3 linked regions of the Saccharomyces cerevisiae S288C genome follow. The protein of the gene in region 1 interacts with the protein of each later gene in a pairwise test. Each region holds a gene or a part of one and is shown on either strand. Other genes may lie near its edges.

Region 1 (3,264 bases):
AAAGCGAAGAAATATTTGAAAAGACGCCATAAAGTCCACAGTTTTGATTTGAAGAAAGCTAACGAAAGAATAACTGTGGCAGATATTAGAAATGTGCCGCTACCAGATGAGTCCTGTACTATAGTGGTCTTCTGCCTGGCTCTAATGGGTACAAATTTCCTCGATTTCATAAAAGAAGCTTATAGGATTTTAGCGCCAAGGGGTGAATTATGGATCGCAGAAATTAAATCAAGGTTTAGTGACGGCAAAGGTAATGAATTTGTAGACGCTTTGAAGCTGATGGGATTTTTTCACAAAAAGACCTTCGACGAGAATAAGATGTTTACAAGATTCGAATTTTTCAAGCCACCTGCGGAGATTATTGAAGAGAGAAGGCAGAAATTGGAAAGAAGACAAAAGTTTATTGAAGTTGAAACTGAGAAGGAAGAATTAGAAAAGAAAAGACGGAAAATTGCCGAAGGAAAATGGCTCTTGAAGCCCTGTATTTATAAAAGAAGATAACGACTTCATCCGTCATTTTCATATTTTAATATTGTTTTTTCTTTTGTATACTATATTTATACATATAATTGTATTCTTTTCCTGTAGTACATTGCGTAAAGTAAAAATCATCTAGAAGAAGTACTCCACAATGTTCACATGAGGGACAAGGTTTTATTGTCTCTGGAAAAACGATTGGATATTAGCCAGCCTTGAAAGATTTTCAAAGCCCGGAACAGAAGGAAGAGCGAACCAATTATTAGTATCTTGACCGTCAGATTGTCCACTATTGGGCTCCCATCTATCGCAACAACGAAATCCATACGTGTTCCAGGCGGTCAGACACATTGCAACAATGACCAAAATCAGGTAGAATATTTTCAGTCTTAAAAGACACAACACAGCGAAGACACCCCAGATTACGGGTGTCACATACATCGACCACCAGAATAACTTAGAATCGATGGCATTTATTGGTGGGCCCGGCGCATATTGCTTATATGATTCGAAAGTAAAATTAGAATCTTTGTTCACATCTGTAGAATCATACCACCAGCGTAATTGGACCAGTTTCCGACCTGTAATGTTTTTTGTTAAGTAAAAGTCAAAAGAAAGTAAAAGAACGACAGTGATGAATTGAGGTGTGAAATTCAAAAACATTGATCCTATGATATAAAATACAATGGGAACTGCCTTACCTGCCAGATGAAATGATAGTAGCAACGGGTGCGACGATTTTAAAATTGTGTTGTAGAAATTTCTTGCCTGGTCCATGTTTCATTCGTAATTAGAGCACCAGCAGGTTTATAAAAGCGTATTGAACCGTAAATCCTTTAAGAACCACGCTTTTCTACATTTACATTATGTACAGTTAAAATGGAAACGAAATCCCTTTTCACCCAAAGGCGCATTGCGGACAAATAATAGGTTCGAGGTCAAGGTAAACAGGAAGCAAGATGCAAAAGAAGTAACTGGAATGGAATGTATACATTGATATATAAATATGTATGACGCCTTCTATTGCAAAAAATAAACTGGATTATGTTACGTTAATAACTCAAATTAAATAATGTGTAAAGCACTTGCTGTTCTCATGGACAACCATCTCATTTTTTTTGTAAGAGTTAAGTTCAAGTTTGATCTCATTCATGGCACTATTCATGCTTGGATGTACTTTCATCATCCACAACAATCTGTGGCGATTCATAATGAATTCCGGATTAGCTCTCTCATATGCATTCGATGACCAAGTGCTTGCTAAACATACTTCTTTTGCAAACCGGACATCTTTTTTTATTGGTTTTGGAGGTGTTTCGACTTTATCAAATGAGGAATCTGGCAGCGAATTCCTTCTATCTTCGAATCTGATATACTCCCAGTCATTTCTCAACCTATTTACCATGTCGTTCCCAACATGCATTGGTAAGCTTATTGGACCTGACAGAGACTGTCGCAAATCTGTCGATATGTTGTAGAAGTATCGTGCAGATTCATTGTCATCTAATGAAGGCCTCTTGGACGATCTTGGTGGTGGTTGATTTCTCGTGTCGATTATATATTCACCGAGCTTTGAAAATTCTTCGATTATGGTCTTGTCGATCAAACCTTCATTGACATTATGCTTTTCGGTATCTCGAAAAGAAACCTTGCCATCGTCGTTGTGCGAGGTCTCGTGGAGCTTTTGTCGTATTTCTAATTGCCTTCGCCTCAAATCGTATTTATCATTTTCCTTGGACAACAGATCATCAAAAATTGAATCTGTATCCATTAGAGTTTCGTCGTCGTCAAATTCAATGCCGTCCAGATTTGCATCCATTAATTCAATATCATTCTCAGCTTCAGAATTTCCATCAGAATGCGTAACCATATCATCGATAGGAATTCTCCTTCTTTTTGTATCCTTTTTTCCATGCTTTGTATTCGAGTTTCCTGAAGTACGCCATAATTTCTTCAAAACAGAACCCAGTTTCAACTTCGATTGTGACTTTATACATCTATATTTCTCAGTGCCCAGAATAGTCTTTTTCTTTCTATCAAATAGGCCTGAATTAGTTGTTGGCTTAGTTTTTTCCTTAGTTGATAAATCCAATTTTTCTATATGGCTACCATGTTTTTCATTTACCGTATTTTCGAAGCAATAAGATATAGTTACAGTTTTATTTTCATAACCGTCATCATCATCAGTTTGACTTTCTGGCAAGCTGGTCAGGGTATTAACAGCAGATATCGGAGAGGTTGATGAAACCGAACTTTTTATTGTTGAAGGAACTGAAGTGTTCAGCTCCAAGCTATTTACACCGTAGCCTGTATCATTGGGAGGAATATGTATGACTGATGTCCCATTATGAGGCCCCACAAAATCTTTTGATAAATTGCGACCTTTCTTCTCGCTGAATTTGAATAAAGAAGAGTCTCTTGAATTTAATTCAGGCTTTTTCAAGCTGTGGGTGCATTTTCCATCAAGTTTTGGCTTGTATATTTCGCCATTGGGAAATTGAAAGCTTCTTTTCATTTTAGAGCGCTGCAGTTGATAAGGTGTTAATTCTTTATATACTCCGAAAGTGTACTGTGGCTTCTGGTATTGGCTCACATAATCTTGATCATTATTGAACCCCTCATGGTAAGAGTTTCTTTCCCTAACTGTGAATAGCGCAGTTCTCTTTCTTTGCTGGGCGGCTGTCATTGAACAGGACCTTACTGGAAATTTTCTAGCTGCTGTCACAGACCTACAGTCTATCTCGCCACTATAAATGTGTCTCTTCTTATTCGGGTTCGAATAATTGT
Region 2 (3,078 bases), on another chromosome or scaffold:
TCAAGAAATGGGCGCATTACTACAAGAAGTTTTGATATTTTTTGTAACTGTAATTTCACTCATGCACAAGAAAAAAAAAACTGGATTAAAAGGGAGCCCAAGGAAAACTCCTCAGCATATATTTAGAAGTCTCCTCAGCATATAGTTGTTTGTTTTCTTTACACATTCACTGTTTAATAAAACTTTTATAATATTTCATTATCGGAACTCTAGATTCTATACTTGTTTCCCAATTGTTGCTGGTAGTAAACGTATACGTCATAAAAGGGAAAAGCCACATGCGGAAGAATTTTATGGAAAAAAAAAAAACCTCGAAGTTACTACTTCTAGGGGGCCTATCAAGTAAATTACTCCTGGTACACTGAAGTATATAAGGGATATAGAAGCAAATAGTTGTCAGTGCAATCCTTCAAGACGATTGGGAAAATACTGTAATATAAATCGTAAAGGAAAATTGGAAATTTTTTAAAGATGTCTTCACTGGTTACTCTTAATAACGGTCTGAAAATGCCCCTAGTCGGCTTAGGGTGCTGGAAAATTGACAAAAAAGTCTGTGCGAATCAAATTTATGAAGCTATCAAATTAGGCTACCGTTTATTCGATGGTGCTTGCGACTACGGCAACGAAAAGGAAGTTGGTGAAGGTATCAGGAAAGCCATCTCCGAAGGTCTTGTTTCTAGAAAGGATATATTTGTTGTTTCAAAGTTATGGAACAATTTTCACCATCCTGATCATGTAAAATTAGCTTTAAAGAAGACCTTAAGCGATATGGGACTTGATTATTTAGACCTGTATTATATTCACTTCCCAATCGCCTTCAAATATGTTCCATTTGAAGAGAAATACCCTCCAGGATTCTATACGGGCGCAGATGACGAGAAGAAAGGTCACATCACCGAAGCACATGTACCAATCATAGATACGTACCGGGCTCTGGAAGAATGTGTTGATGAAGGCTTGATTAAGTCTATTGGTGTTTCCAACTTTCAGGGAAGCTTGATTCAAGATTTATTACGTGGTTGTAGAATCAAGCCCGTGGCTTTGCAAATTGAACACCATCCTTATTTGACTCAAGAACACCTAGTTGAGTTTTGTAAATTACACGATATCCAAGTAGTTGCTTACTCCTCCTTCGGTCCTCAATCATTCATTGAGATGGACTTACAGTTGGCAAAAACCACGCCAACTCTGTTCGAGAATGATGTAATCAAGAAGGTCTCACAAAACCATCCAGGCAGTACCACTTCCCAAGTATTGCTTAGATGGGCAACTCAGAGAGGCATTGCCGTCATTCCAAAATCTTCCAAGAAGGAAAGGTTACTTGGCAACCTAGAAATCGAAAAAAAGTTCACTTTAACGGAGCAAGAATTGAAGGATATTTCTGCACTAAATGCCAACATCAGATTTAATGATCCATGGACCTGGTTGGATGGTAAATTCCCCACTTTTGCCTGATCCAGCCAGTAAAATCCATACTCAACGACGATATGAACAAATTTCCCTCATTCCGATGCTGTATATGTGTATAAATTTTTACATGCTCTTCTGTTTAGACACAGAACAGCTTTAAATAAAATGTTGGATATACTTTTTCTGCCTGTGGTGTCATCCACGCTTTTAATTCATCTCTTGTATGGTTGACAATTTGGCTATTTTTTAACAGAACCCAACGGTAATTGAAATTAAAAGGGAAACGAGTGGGGGCGATGAGTGAGTGATACTAAAATAGACACCAAGAGAGCAAAGCGGTCCCAAAATCATTTGAGTAACCGGATATCTATCGGGATATTAATAGCAGCTTCCATTTCAACTAAAACAACAGCAAGATATGAGCGACAAGATATCCTTTCTACCTCCCGAACCCATCCAACTACTTGACGAAGACTCCACGGAGCCTGAACTCGACATTGACTCACAACAAGAAAATGAGGGACCCATCAGTGCGTCAAACAGCAATGATAGCACTAGCCATAGTAATGATTGCGGTGCCACAATTACCAGAACAAGACCTAGACGAAGCAGTTCTATCAATGCAAACTTTAGTTTTCAAAAGGCTCATGTCAGCGATTGCACCATAGTCAATGGCGACCATGGAACAAAGTTTGCTGTCTGGAGAATTACCGTATTTCTTGAACCCAACTTGAAGGCTTTTGCGGCCAAGAGGGAAAGCTATAAAATCCAAACCTATAAACGATACTCCGATTTCGTCAGATTACGAGAGAATTTGCTCACAAGAATCAAGACAGCGAAACCTGAGAAACTTAACTGTTTGCAGATTCCACACCTTCCCCCTTCAGTGCAGTGGTACAGTTCTTGGAAATATCAAGAAGTGAATCTGAACAAGGACTGGCTGGCAAAAAGACAGAGAGGGCTCGAGTACTTCCTCAATCACATCATCCTTAACAGCAGCCTCGTAGAAATGACCAAAGATATACTCATACAGTTTCTAGAGCCTTCAAAACGAGTTGCATAGCTCACCATCCCTATCCAACCGACTATTCTTCTCATCGACTACTACTATCCCATTTAACTCGGGCGCGTTGTTAATTAATCACTCGATGGGGAATGCCTTGAGCTGACCGCAATGAAAACTTTTAGGGGATCGTCCAACATTAAAGGAAGAACGAAACGGACTCCACAGTTTCTAATATAAATAAACAATGATAAAACATATAGTTTCGCCATTCAGGACGAATTTTGTTGGCATCAGCAAGTCCGTGCTGTCAAGGATGATTCATCACAAGGTTACAATCATAGGTTCTGGCCCCGCTGCCCACACCGCTGCTATATACTTGGCAAGAGCAGAGATGAAGCCCACATTATATGAGGGAATGATGGCCAACGGAATTGCTGCTGGTGGCCAATTGACAACAACCACCGATATCGAAAATTTCCCAGGGTTTCCTGAATCGTTGAGTGGCAGTGAACTGATGGAGAGGATGAGGAAACAATCTGCCAAGTTTGGCACTAACATAATTACCGAGACTGTCTCTAAAGTCGATTTATCTTCAAAACCATTCAGATTATGGACCGAATTTAATGAGGATGCAGAGCCTGTGACCACTGATGCTATAATCT
Region 3 (3,413 bases), on another chromosome or scaffold:
AAAAAAATAAAATGTAATGCGAAAATTGAGATTTTGCTTCAAGACGATACTATAATGCCAATGATCTCGAACAAGTTGCGGTACGTCTTGACTCCTGACGATATTCGGCTATATCGAGGCACGCTGTTGCGGAATATTGCCATACCGGATGATGTCATTGAGGGTACAGGCTCACGCAAGTTGATTAAGCATATTGATAAGTTGGTTTTGCTCACACCTTGTTTACCATGCATTAAGAAAAAGCATTCTTCTTCTTCCACTAATTTCCCAAAAAATGATAAATGTACTTTTTCAAAAGGCTTTACCAGAGCTGACATAAACATTTCATCCAAAATCTCCTTAAAATTTAAGGATAAAACCATTTACGACATAACCTATGATGACTATAAAAGCATTGATTTTTAGACAAAGGCATCTCTAATGAATAGCATCACAAAACTTGCATTTAGCATTAACATATATGGATATATATGTACACACAGAAAACGTATAAACACTCATGTATAACCCTACATAATAAGAGTATACAATGATACTAGTCATAAAAAGTATTGTGTGTATAGACGTGCGCATATTTTCAAAATATTATAAACCTGAACAATAGACAGAATAAAGTATGCAGCGCAACGACAACGATGATGGACAGCGAAAATTTCCCGTTCGATTGTGTCTCCGTATTATTATTACTCGATATTTGAGAATTCAAGAAATAAGACGACTGTGCCCACCCAAGAGCCACAATTGCCCATTGAATTGCTTGAACAGTCCTCAGGCGCTTGGACATATCCAATATATTCAATATAACACAAACGGGTATCCAGATCAAGTTAGCGTACCCGTAAACGGAAATCAATTCAGGAACACTTTTGAAGCTTCTATTGCGCTCCGAGTGCTCATCTCTATTCAATACTTGCATGGTAATAAATGGTACGCCGAACGTGTACCCGTAAAATAGCCAAATAGAATGCAGTAGCTTCTTAAACTGACTGGCCCTGTCGATGTCCTCACCAGTCTTGACGCCCTCAATTACGTCACTGATAATAAAATTTAACCCCCTACTCATGGTAAAATTGATCATTACCACCGTGGCAGTGATCCATACAGCACCGTATAAATCAGTGTTATCTTCGTTACTTTCGGAATTATGATCGTTTCTAAACGTCAGTACCGCGGACAATCTCTTTTTGAACTGCGTCAAATCGATCTGGAAGTATTTAGAATAGTAGTTTATCAATCCTGGCCTCAATCCATTACGCCCAAGACCGTCGTTGTCATTCTGTCCTATCACTTGGTCGTACGCTGGTGGGTCCATTTGACCCTGTAATGGTGCGGATTCTGCCTTACTGCCCGTTGTGTTATAAAATTCGCTACCCTTTCCAGCAGTCGAGTTATTCATGTTTGGGCTATCAGGTACGGTGGCATCATCAAATGGGTTGGGCTCGTTGCCAAAATCATCTACACCCTCGAGATCATCGTCAATATCTAAAAAACTGCTATTATTGGACGGCATTTTTCTGCTTTTGTCGAGTCAATCCTATTTGCTAGTATACAATCGTGGATGAAGCGTAAAAAAGAACTACAGAACCAATGCGTTTGGATCCAATGTGGTCGCTGCCCTTGGCCCCTTTTACCTTGAGCGTAGGACGTTGATACATTTTCACTGCTTGAGAAATTAGGTATAATACACAGCCGGGTAAATAGCGTTTAATTGATCGCTGCTCCGTAATACCGATATACTGTTACGTTATGTATTGAAAATACAGTTTAACTATTATTTGTAGGGATACTACTATGGGGTCTCAACCGCACTTAAAGGCGCTAAAATATTTTGACTTTTCCTTCCTTATATTGTAGACGTGTTATTTAAAAACTACATTTTCCATATCTCGTCGCCAGAAACTTCTAATTTGGTAAGCCTTCCAATAAATATGAAAGAATCCCCTCTCATAACGTTGGTTAAAAGACATTCCGAGACACATTTTGCCAATATCAAGTATGGGTATTATGTGTTGATAATATCATTGGTCTATCTCATTGGATTGGCTCTTTTGAGAGCTTTCGGAAGGAGAACCCCATCCAGATCGTCGTCAGCTTTCAAAAATAAGATAATTTATCGGTTGTATGATATAGATCCTGCAATTCACTTAGGTATATTGTTTTTTGCAGTCTTGATTCCATTTTATTACCATTACTCTTTGACTACCCAATCTACGGTCTATCTCAAAAGATTAGGGAGGTTGAGTTACGCCTTGATCCCGCTGAACCTATTCCTCACTTTAAGGCCTAATTGGTTCCTTAGGAAAAATTGCACCTACACTGATTTTATACCGTTCCATAAATGGTTTTCACGTATTATCACCGTGATTGGTTTGCTTCATGGGATTTTCTTCATCATTAAGTGGGCGATAGACGATAATGTCTCTCTAAAGCAAAAATTGATTCTGAAAACTTTCAATTTTGCGGGATTCATAATATCAATATTGGTACTTTTTTTACTTATTTGCTCGATTGGGCCAATGAGAAGATACAACTATCGTTTGTTTTACATCGTACATAACCTGGTGAACGTGGCCTTCATCTTACTCACCCCAATACACTCTAGGCCAGGTGTTAAGTTCCCATTTCTTCTACTAAACTGTACCCTATTATTCATTCATATTATCAATAGAATAGTATTTGCGAAATCCTTGATGATTTTGAATAAGAATGCGAATTATTCAAAAACAAATTTAGTCCATGTAAGATTGCCCAGGGCTATTCTTCCAGATTATTTTGAACCAGGGTCGCATATTAGAATAAGCCCTTACAGAAGAATTAATCCCCTCTATTGGTTGCTACCATCGCATCCATACACAATTGCGTCTTTGGCAGAAGACAATTCAATTGATCTTATTATAAAGGAAACCTCTACAGCCGAGCCAGGTAGCCAGATAGAGTCTCTTCGTAGTAATCCAAAATCCTTTCATTTAGATCAAGAAAAAACCTATACTTTGATTAATAGTTATCCTCCCTCTGTACCCGAAGAATGTTATTCTCAAGGCACGAATATAGCTATTATATGTGGTGGGTCTGGTATATCTTTTGCCCTACCACTATTTAGGCATTTTTTTAACAAGGAGAATGTAAAATACTTGAAAATGATCTGGCTGATAAAAGATTACTCTGAATATGAACTTGTTTTGGATTATCTCAAGACAAATGGGTTGACTTTTGAGAAAAAACTCTCGAATAATAAGAGGATTTCAGTATTTATTAGTGGAGAATACACGGCGGAAACACGGTTAGACGAAATTACGACCAATATCGACGATGAAAACTCAGAATATGAAATGGGATCTTTCAACAATGAAGACGAAGACCTTTCGATTTCTAATTTCAATTCAGAAAATGCGGACAGCAATGACAATACGCCA

Evidence for each region.
Region 2: the proteins of TVP23 (region 1) and YPT35 interact in a two-hybrid assay, tested with the Saccharomyces cerevisiae proteins (one study listed by BioGRID).
Region 3: the proteins of TVP23 (region 1) and YIP5 interact in a two-hybrid assay, tested with the Saccharomyces cerevisiae proteins (2 studies listed by BioGRID).

Annotation. Positions count from the first base shown.
Region 1 is NC_001136.10:612,751-616,014, forward strand, and holds TVP23 (Tvp23p), read right to left. Parts: upstream 1,255-3,264; coding exon 655-1,254; downstream 1-654. Other genes in the region: RRP8 (25S rRNA (adenine645-N1)-methyltransferase), read left to right, coding at 1-501; AFR1 (Afr1p), read right to left, coding at 1,538-3,264. UniProt on the Saccharomyces cerevisiae protein: Golgi membrane protein involved in vesicular trafficking.
Region 2 is NC_001140.6:322,938-326,015, forward strand, and holds YPT35 (Ypt35p), read left to right. Parts: upstream 1-1,828; coding exon 1,829-2,473; downstream 2,474-3,078. Other genes in the region: SBE22 (Sbe22p), read left to right, coding at 1-35; GRE3 (trifunctional aldehyde reductase/xylose reductase/glucose 1-dehydrogenase (NADP(+))), read left to right, coding at 472-1,455; thioredoxin-disulfide reductase TRR2, read left to right, coding at 2,661-3,078.
Region 3 is NC_001139.9:198,633-202,045, forward strand, and holds YIP5 (Yip5p), read right to left. Parts: upstream 1,511-3,413; coding exon 578-1,510; downstream 1-577. Other genes in the region: SUT1 (Sut1p), read left to right, coding at 1-405; AIM14 (putative metalloreductase), read left to right, coding at 1,929-3,413. UniProt on the Saccharomyces cerevisiae protein: Possible role in vesicle-mediated transport. May be involved in proper membrane localization of Rab GTPases.